Macaca mulatta: one gene and its partner. The protein of the gene in region 2 interacts with the protein of the main gene of each other region in a biochemical or structural test. Links are inferred from orthologs where the notes say so. Each region holds a gene or a part of one and is shown on either strand. Other genes may lie near its edges. The genes, in order: TRIB1 and CEBPA.

Region 1 (3,899 bases), on a different chromosome or scaffold from region 2:
CAGAATGTGGTGACTCTGCAGCCTCCAAGGGGAAGCAGGGGCCAGAGAACATGCAGAGCTGTCATTAATCAGAAGGAACAGATGACTTGGAGGGGGAGGCTGGGACAATGCAGCTTTAAGCAACCTGCCTACAGTCCGACTCAAGTGTAAGTAAGCCGCCTTGAGTTACAATTCTCACAGGAGGGGTAGGGGATCCTGCGAATCGGTTTTTCATTTGTTTGTTTACCCCCCACACCCGACCCCACCCCTAAAAATGAGTAGCATCTCCTCTCTTCTAGGAAGCTGGCTGATCTCTTTAGAGGCCTTTTGTTTAGTCCAGTTACTCATATCCTAGACTCAACTGGAAACGGTGACACACGGGCTGTCACCATCTGGATTCAGCTATTATCTGCTCAGAGGAACTGGAAGGGGTTGCACAATGGCCAGACTCACCCCACCTCTAAGAGGCCTGGCTGCTCTGGCACCAGCTAGAAAAATCCCCTGCTGCCCCCTCCTCCCACCCACCCCATCCCACCACACACATATGCTTGTCCCAGAACAGCTCTGAGCCCCAGCCACGGAGAAGAAAAGGGTTTTATCTCCCCCTATTAAACTGGGCTTGATCATGCGTTTGAAATTTCATTCGGGTTGGGCAGTAGGTGGCAGCAGCGAGCCCCGGGACGGGGTCGGGGTGTTGGGAGTGTCAGGTGAGTTGCGGAAAACCCAGAAGCGACTTAACTGGGGGCTGATCCTATCTTTCGGGTGAAAAGGAGCAGCCCGAGGGTGCTCTGGGGTGCCTCAAGCAGGGGTGTCATGCTCGCATAAAGTAGACTGTGGGAATGTTCTGCGTCTACCCGCGCAGGAGGAGGACCCGGCGGATCCTGTTTCTAGGAGCTGTGTCTCCTCCTCCTGGATGGGATCCCTACGTTCAAAGGAAAATCGCTGGCTGGAAAATAAAGTGAATCGAAGCGAGGGTTCCTGCCCGGTGTGGGCTTTTCAACATTTCTACTCCGAGCAGATTCCTCCGCCTCGGGTGGAAGACTCTGGGACTGCTCCCTAGGGAGGACGTGTTCTAGTCCCAGCGCGAATTCAATTCGGAATCCCCAAGGCAGGAGCCGGACACAGTCTTCCAGCGCTCTTACCACCTACAACTGAGCCCGGGTGCCGTGCAAACCCGGCAAGAGAGATGCCAGCTGCTTCAATCTCCTAGGAGGCACCCACTGCAGGGCGTCCTTCCAGGACATGGGGTTGGGGGGGCGGGGGGTGGAGAGCGAGGAGAATGAGAGAAGGGGAATGGCATGGCCCTGGAATCCATTTCAATTCCACAACTTATATGGAACGCCACGCGCTACACTGGGCGCTAAGGAAAGGAACAGAAAGAGAAGGCCACTGAACACTACACTTCCTCTAGGCGCCCCCATTATACCACTCCATGGGAAACCCCTCAATCCACAAAAAGGTGAACCTGGTCAGATGGCGTCTTATCTGACCCCATCTACTGATCTGCCCTGTGCCCAGCCCAAGCGTTGGCCGCACCCCAAGCACCTTTGCCTACTACCCCGTCCTGCGCCCCCGACCCCAGCCGGGTCCTGGCCCGGGAGCGCCTACCTTGCAGCGCAGCTCGCGGCCAGTGTGGATGCACAGCGCCCGGGACACATGCTCGCGCTCGGCTAGGGGCAGCAGCAGGTAGTCGGCGATGCGGCTGGGCCCCGGCGCGCTCCCGGAGCCGCCGCCGGTCCCCGGAGCGGCAGGTGGGGGCTGCGGGCTGCAGGGCGAGCCGGGGGGGCTGAGGTAGTCCGGGGGGCTGGAGCACTCGGAGAGGCGCGGGCACTTGGCCGCCACGGCCGCCGCGTCGTCGGCGTCCAGCAGGCGTTTGGCCGGGACGCCTCGGGCGGCTGGGAACAGCAGGGCCGGGCCGCGGGGTTGCGAGGCGCCGCTCATGGCAGAGCGCACGGGACCGACCCGCATCCCGTCCTGGGCCGGGGCGGCCCCGGCTTTTTAAGTCCCGGGATCCGCGCGGGAAGACGCTGCGGGCTTGGCGCCGGCTCCGCGACTTCTTCCAGCCGGCGGGATGGAGTTTGCAGACTGCTCTTGGCTCGGCCCCCACTAGGGGCAAAGCAGGAGCCGCTCCCCGGCGCTCGCGTTGCACGCGGGGACCACGCTGGCTGTGCGTCCGGGGAGCGGAGGCCGGCTTGGGTCCCCGGATCCCCGCAGGCAAGGGCTCCCGGAGCCTCGCTGGGGGCGGCCGCCACTATTGTTGCCTAGGCTGCCGACAGTCCGGGAGGCAGAGGCGGCGGCGGCAGCGGCCAGCGATCCCGGCTTCCCGAGCCGCGAGGACAGGATTCAGTAGGCTCGGCGGAGCCACGAAGCAAATGCACTTCCCAAAGCGATGAGTCTCGAGCTAAAGCCGGGGGAACTTTTTCGCGGCGCTCGGGATCCTGCGCGCTCCTGGGCTCCGGGCGTGTAGGAGAGCGAGCGAGACGCGCTCAGAGAGAGTGACTGTGAGTGAGTGTGAGCGCCGCACCGATCCCGGCCAGTGCACTCCTCCTTCTCCTTTTCCTCCACCTCCTCCGCCTCCCGGTGACTCACGCTGTATACACACACACTCACAGGCCGGGCTGTGTAAACAGTTGGGAAGCCGGGTTGTGCAATGAGGTGGCTGCGACGACTCCGGCCTCGCCGCCCGGCGAGCAGTCTCAGGAGCGGAGGGAGGAGACTTGGGGGAGGGGAGGGAGAACAGGAGGTGGGGGGAATGGGGGTGGCCCGAGGGCTGGGGATGCTTGGGGCAGCGCGCGGTCGGGCACAGGTGGTGCGTCCCGGGCCGGCCTGGGCGCGCGCACACGCCCCCCGGGCTGGGCTGGGCAGGAGGTGGCGCGCGCCCTCCGGCAGGCCGCCAGCTCGGCCGAGAAGCCGAAGGAGGGGGCGGAGGAAAAGTTCCCGTGACGTAAGGGTCCGGGGAAGTGGGCGGGAGGGGCGGGGCCGCGGGGAGCGAAGCGACCGCTGATTGGTGCGCGCGCCTCATTCACAGCAAGCACAATGGGCTGCGGGCGTGAGGCGGGAGCGCGCACCACGGTTCTGTGCACCCGCCGCCCGCTGCAGCCCCGCGGCGACGCCTTTCGCCCCGGGGATACCCCCACCGCCCAGCGCCTGGGGAGCTCCAGTTGGAGCCGTGGGCGCCGCCGAGGCCCGGCTGCAGCCGGAGGAAGGAGGGGGATGGGGAGGTGATGAATTCCAGAATCAGTCATTCACCCCCACGCGGTAGTTCCGGGGAAGACCTGTGCGTGGTAGTGGATGTGGCTTTTTTTTTCTCTCTCTTTTCCTGCCCCCTCCCAGCTCCAATCCCCAGCGTCTGTTCGCTTCCACAAATAGAACCTTCTGTTGGATGAAAGAAAAGCAAACACTGGGCCTTCTGCGCTGCCTCCACCTCCACGCCCCCCTAACCCCCCCGCGCCTGCCGCCCGCCCGGATTGCACGGAAATAGCTTCTCCAGGCTCCCGGGCCGCCCCTTCGCGGTGACTCGCAGAAAGAGCTTCCTGAGCCAGGGCCGGTGGGAAACAAAGGATGTGGGGAGCGGGCGGAAGGGGCCCACGTGGCTGCCGCCAGATTCCTGCTCCCTCCCCAGCCTCCACACGCGCCGCAGAGTCTAGGGCCTGAGTGCCAACCCGGGTAGGTGGGTAGGCTGGTGGAAGTCATTCTGGCCACTGCCAGAGATACCTCCTGCACCCGGGCAGCCCGCGTGATTTGGGTGAGCGTGAAAGTTGTGCGTGAAACAACTTGGAATCTGTCATTTTTCTTTCTTGAATGAACCAGTTCAGGTTGGAGTCCCTGGGCACCCAACAATATAACTATTATCAGAGAGCCCGTCCTTGCACTTCTACTAAATACTTAATTTTCTAAAACCAGGTCGAGCCCCAAGAATA
Region 2 (3,899 bases):
TATTTGTGTTGCCTGGGGGAAGTAAGTCACCCCCTTAGGGTAAAGAGGGGCTGGGGGTGGATGGAGAGCTCATGAAAGTCAGGATTGCCGCCAGGGAAAATGCTGTATTATTTACAAATGTGGCCTGGCCCACAGACAACCTTGGAAGTAGCTTCTTTCTGGTTTTAAAAAGACACGGACATTGACTTTCGATATGTTTATATTATAGATATAATACATAAAACATCTACGGTGAGACTCTACGTTCTCCCCAAAAGAAGAGAACCAAGCCGTCTTTCCCTGCTCCCAGCCCCAGTGATGTGTTGGCGAGAGGCCACCTCCCTTCCCGACCAGGAGCCAGGGCCTCTGGGGGACAAGCCTTGTGGGCAGCCCAGGCCGGAGGGGCCGGGGAAAGCTGAGGGCAAAGGAGAACTCCCCTCACCTCATTGGTCCCCCAGGATCAAAAGTAATCCCAAAACCAAAAGGAAAGAGAGTCTCAGACCCTTCCCCCAGCTGCCGATGGAGAGTCTCATTTTGGCAAGTATCCGAGCAAAACCAAAACAAAACAAAAACCAAATAAAATGGTGGTTTAGCAGAGACGCGCACATTCACATTGCACAAGGCACTGCTGGGGCACAGAGGCCAGATACAAGTGTTGATATCGGCTGATAAAGCAAAATATTTGGAAAGCTTGTCATAACTCCGGTCCCTCTGGGATGGACTGATCGTGCTTCGTGTTCCTAGGCAATGCTGAAGGCATACAGTACAAACAAGGCTGAGGGTCCCAGTGGCCCTTCACCCCCCAAGCCCGCCCACGGCCAGATCTCTAGGTCTCCATCTCCCACCAGGGGTATACATCCTCAGAGCTGACTCACGACCTAGCTTTCTGGTCTAACTCGTGGTGGGGGCTCCCACTGGTCACCTGGTGACTCCCATCTCAGTGAGTTCCGCCCCAAGGGAAAGCCCAGCCTATAGCAGGCTGGGGTGGGGTGTGTGCGGAGGGAGGTGGGAGAGGCGTGGAACTAGACCCTCCACCTTCATGTAGAACTAGGGGAACAACCTTAGGTTTCAAGCCCCAAGTCCCTATGTTTCCCCCCATTTCTAAGGACAGGCGCGGAGGAGCGGCTGGGGCCGGTTGGCTTGTCGGGATCTCAGCTCCCTGAGCCCTCCTCCTGCCACGGGCCTGCTCCCCTCCTCCTCTCATGGGGGCCTGCTGCAGCCTCGGGAAGGAGGCAGGAAACCTCCAAATAAAATGACAAGGCACGATTTGCTCCCCCTACTCGGTAGGCATCGGAGCGGTGAGTTTGCATTTCCAAGGCACAAGGTTATCCTTAATACTAAAGTTGCCGGGCTCCCAGCTCAGCCCCAAGAATTCTCCCCTCCTTGCAGGGAGAAGTCACCGCCTGGCCCCCTCATCTCAGACGCACCAAGTCCGGCGCAGAAGAAGGGAGGGGACACGCGGAGCAGGCCAGGCTTTCGGGAGGCACCGGAATCTCCTAGTCCTGGCTCGCATGGCTCGGGCAAGCCTCGAGATCCGGCGACCCCAAACCACCCCTGGGTCCCCGCCGGAGGCTGGCCCAGGGCGGTCCCTCAGCCGCGCGCCTCACGCGCAGTTGCCCATGGCCTTGACCAAGGAGCTCTCTGGCAGCTGGCGGAAGATGCCCCGCAGCGTGTCCAGTTCGCGGCTCAGCTGTTCCACCCGCTTGCGCAGGCGGTCATTGTCACTGGTCAGCTCCAGCACCTTCTGCTGCGTCTCCACGTTGCGCTGCTTGGCCTTGTCGCGGCTCTTGCGCACCGCGATGTTGTTGCGCTCGCGCCGCACCCGGTACTCGTTGCTGTTCTTGTCCACCGACTTCTTGGCCTTGCCCGTGCCGCCGCCGCCACTCGCGCGGAGGTCGGGGTGCGCGGCGCCCAGCCCCTTGAGCGCGCCGCCGGGGCCCGGCAGGCCGGCGGCGCCGAGCGCGGGCGCGGGGTGCGGGCTGGGCACGGGCGTGGGTGGCGGCGTAGGGTGACCGGGCTGCAGGTGCATGGTGGTCTGGCCGCAGTGCGCTATCTGGAACTGCAGGTGCGGGGCGGCCAGGTGCGCTGGCGGCGGGTGCGGGTGTGAGGGCGGCGGCGGCGGCGGCGGCTGGTAAGGGAAGAGGCCGGCCAGCGCCAGCTGCTTGGCTTCATCCTCCTCGCGGGGCTCCTGCTTGATCACCAGCGGCCGCAGCGCCGGCGCCCCGACGCGCTCGTACAGGGGCTCCAGCCTGCCGTCCAGGTAGCCGGCGGCCGCGCAGCCGTAGCCGGGCGGGGGCCCGTGCGCTCCCCCGGGCATGACGGCGCCCCCGGGGCCCGCGGGCGCGCCCGGGTAGTCAAAGTCGCCGCCGCCGCCGCCGCCGCCCGCGGGGCCCGCGGCCGCCTTGGCCTTCTCCTGCTGCCGGCTGTGCTGGAACAGGTCGGCCAGGAACTCGTCGTTGAAGGCGGCCGGGTCGATGTAGGCGCTGATGTCGATGGACGTCTCGTGCTCGCAGATGCCGCCCAGCGGCTCCGGGGCGGCAGGTGGGGCGGGAGGCTGCGCGGGGCCCGCGCCGCGGGGAAAGCCGAAGGCGGCGCTGCTGGGCGCGTGCGGGGGACTCTGCAGGTGGCTGCTCATCGGGGGCCGCGGCTCCGCCTCGTAGAAGTCGGCCGACTCCATGGGGGAGCTAGAGTTCTCCCGGCATGGCGAGCCTCGGCGGCCTCCAGCCTGCGCGGGGCGTCGCCGCCGCCCACCCGGAGACCCGACTCGCCCGCGCCCGCGCAGCTCCGGGTCGCGAATGGCCCGGCCCGCGCCGGCCCAGCTTTTATACCCCGCGGCCGCGTCGCCCCCTAGAGTCCGAGGCGGCCTCTGTCCCCGGGCGGCGGCGGCGCGGCGCCCGCTGGGTCCTAGCGCGCGGCCGGGATGGAGCGGCGAACAAGCGGGGCCCAGCGCTGCGCTCCTCAGGCAGGCCGCGGCGCAACGCCCACCGCCTCCTGCGCGACCAGCAGAGCCGCGGCGCTCGCTCCAAGCTCCGCCCCCGGCCCAGCTGTCGCCCCTGCGCCCTCGTGGTTGGTGGCGGGGGCCCCCTCCTCCCGCCTCCCCTAGGCACCCACATTCTGCCACGGCTGGGAGCCCAGGAGTATCCCGAGGCTGCATGGGGTAGGGGTGGGTGGCGGAGGGGAGTCTTGGTCTTGAGCTGCTGTGGCTCGGACTCTCTTTCAAAGCCAGAACCAGGCCTGTCCGGGACCCGCGTCCCGGGGAGGCTGCGGCGCAGAGCGGCGGGGCGGGCAGGGGCCGGTGGGGGGCCGTTTGGGACTCGCGGAGAGACCCGGAGCGCGGTGGCTCTGCGTCTCCTAGCTCTGATCTCCAGGCTACCCCTGTGATTCCGCGCAGAGGCACCTCTCGGAGGACGGTGGAATCCCACGGGCGGCGCCGCGCGGGGCGCTAGGACCCCGCGGGGAGCGGAGGCGGCCTCGGCCCGGGAGCCTGAAGGACCTGGCCGGTGGATCCGCCCGGGCTGGAAAACTTTCTTTATAATTACTTCTCCAGGCCGGAGCGCGCGACTTGCTAGGCGCGCGGGACAGGCGTTGTTACCCAGCGTGGAGTCGCCGATTTTTTTTCCTGAGGGACCGGCGGGCTCCGGGAATAGCCGAGCTGGACGCCGGGGCGACCATGGGGAGGGGCGCACCGAGGGAGGAGACAAACTTGACTCTGGGGCCGGGATCCCGAGGCGGGGGCCGCAGTCCGCGAGGCCCGAAGCCACCGCTTCCTCCCCCCACCCCCCATTCAGGTGGGCGCCAACGGCCGGAGCGAGGGTGTCCAGGCCGCCGGGGCCGCCAGGTCCGAGCACCCACAGGAAGAACTCTGCCCGGTAGTTCGCTGGGCGCTGTGATCCCCGGGATCCTGGGGACCGAGGCGGCTG

What was found.
Region 1: the proteins of CEBPA (region 2) and TRIB1 form a complex in vitro, tested with the Homo sapiens proteins (2 studies listed by BioGRID and IntAct, with this or other methods). The link is inferred for Macaca mulatta from reciprocal best matches to the Homo sapiens genes CEBPA and TRIB1.

The regions. Positions count from the first base shown.
Region 1 is NC_133413.1:135,863,475-135,867,373, reverse strand, and holds the start of TRIB1 (tribbles homolog 1), read right to left. Parts: upstream 2,530-3,899; 5' UTR 1,948-2,529; coding exon 1,588-1,947; intron 336-1,587; exon of another isoform or gene 1-335. UniProt on the Homo sapiens protein: Adapter protein involved in protein degradation by interacting with COP1 ubiquitin ligase. The COP1-binding motif is masked by autoinhibitory interactions with the protein kinase domain.
Region 2 is NC_133424.1:44,601,810-44,605,708, forward strand, and holds CEBPA (CCAAT/enhancer-binding protein alpha), read right to left. Parts: upstream 2,777-3,899; 5' UTR 2,657-2,776; coding exon 1,583-2,656; 3' UTR 182-1,582; downstream 1-181. UniProt on the Homo sapiens protein: Transcription factor that coordinates proliferation arrest and the differentiation of myeloid progenitors, adipocytes, hepatocytes, and cells of the lung and the placenta.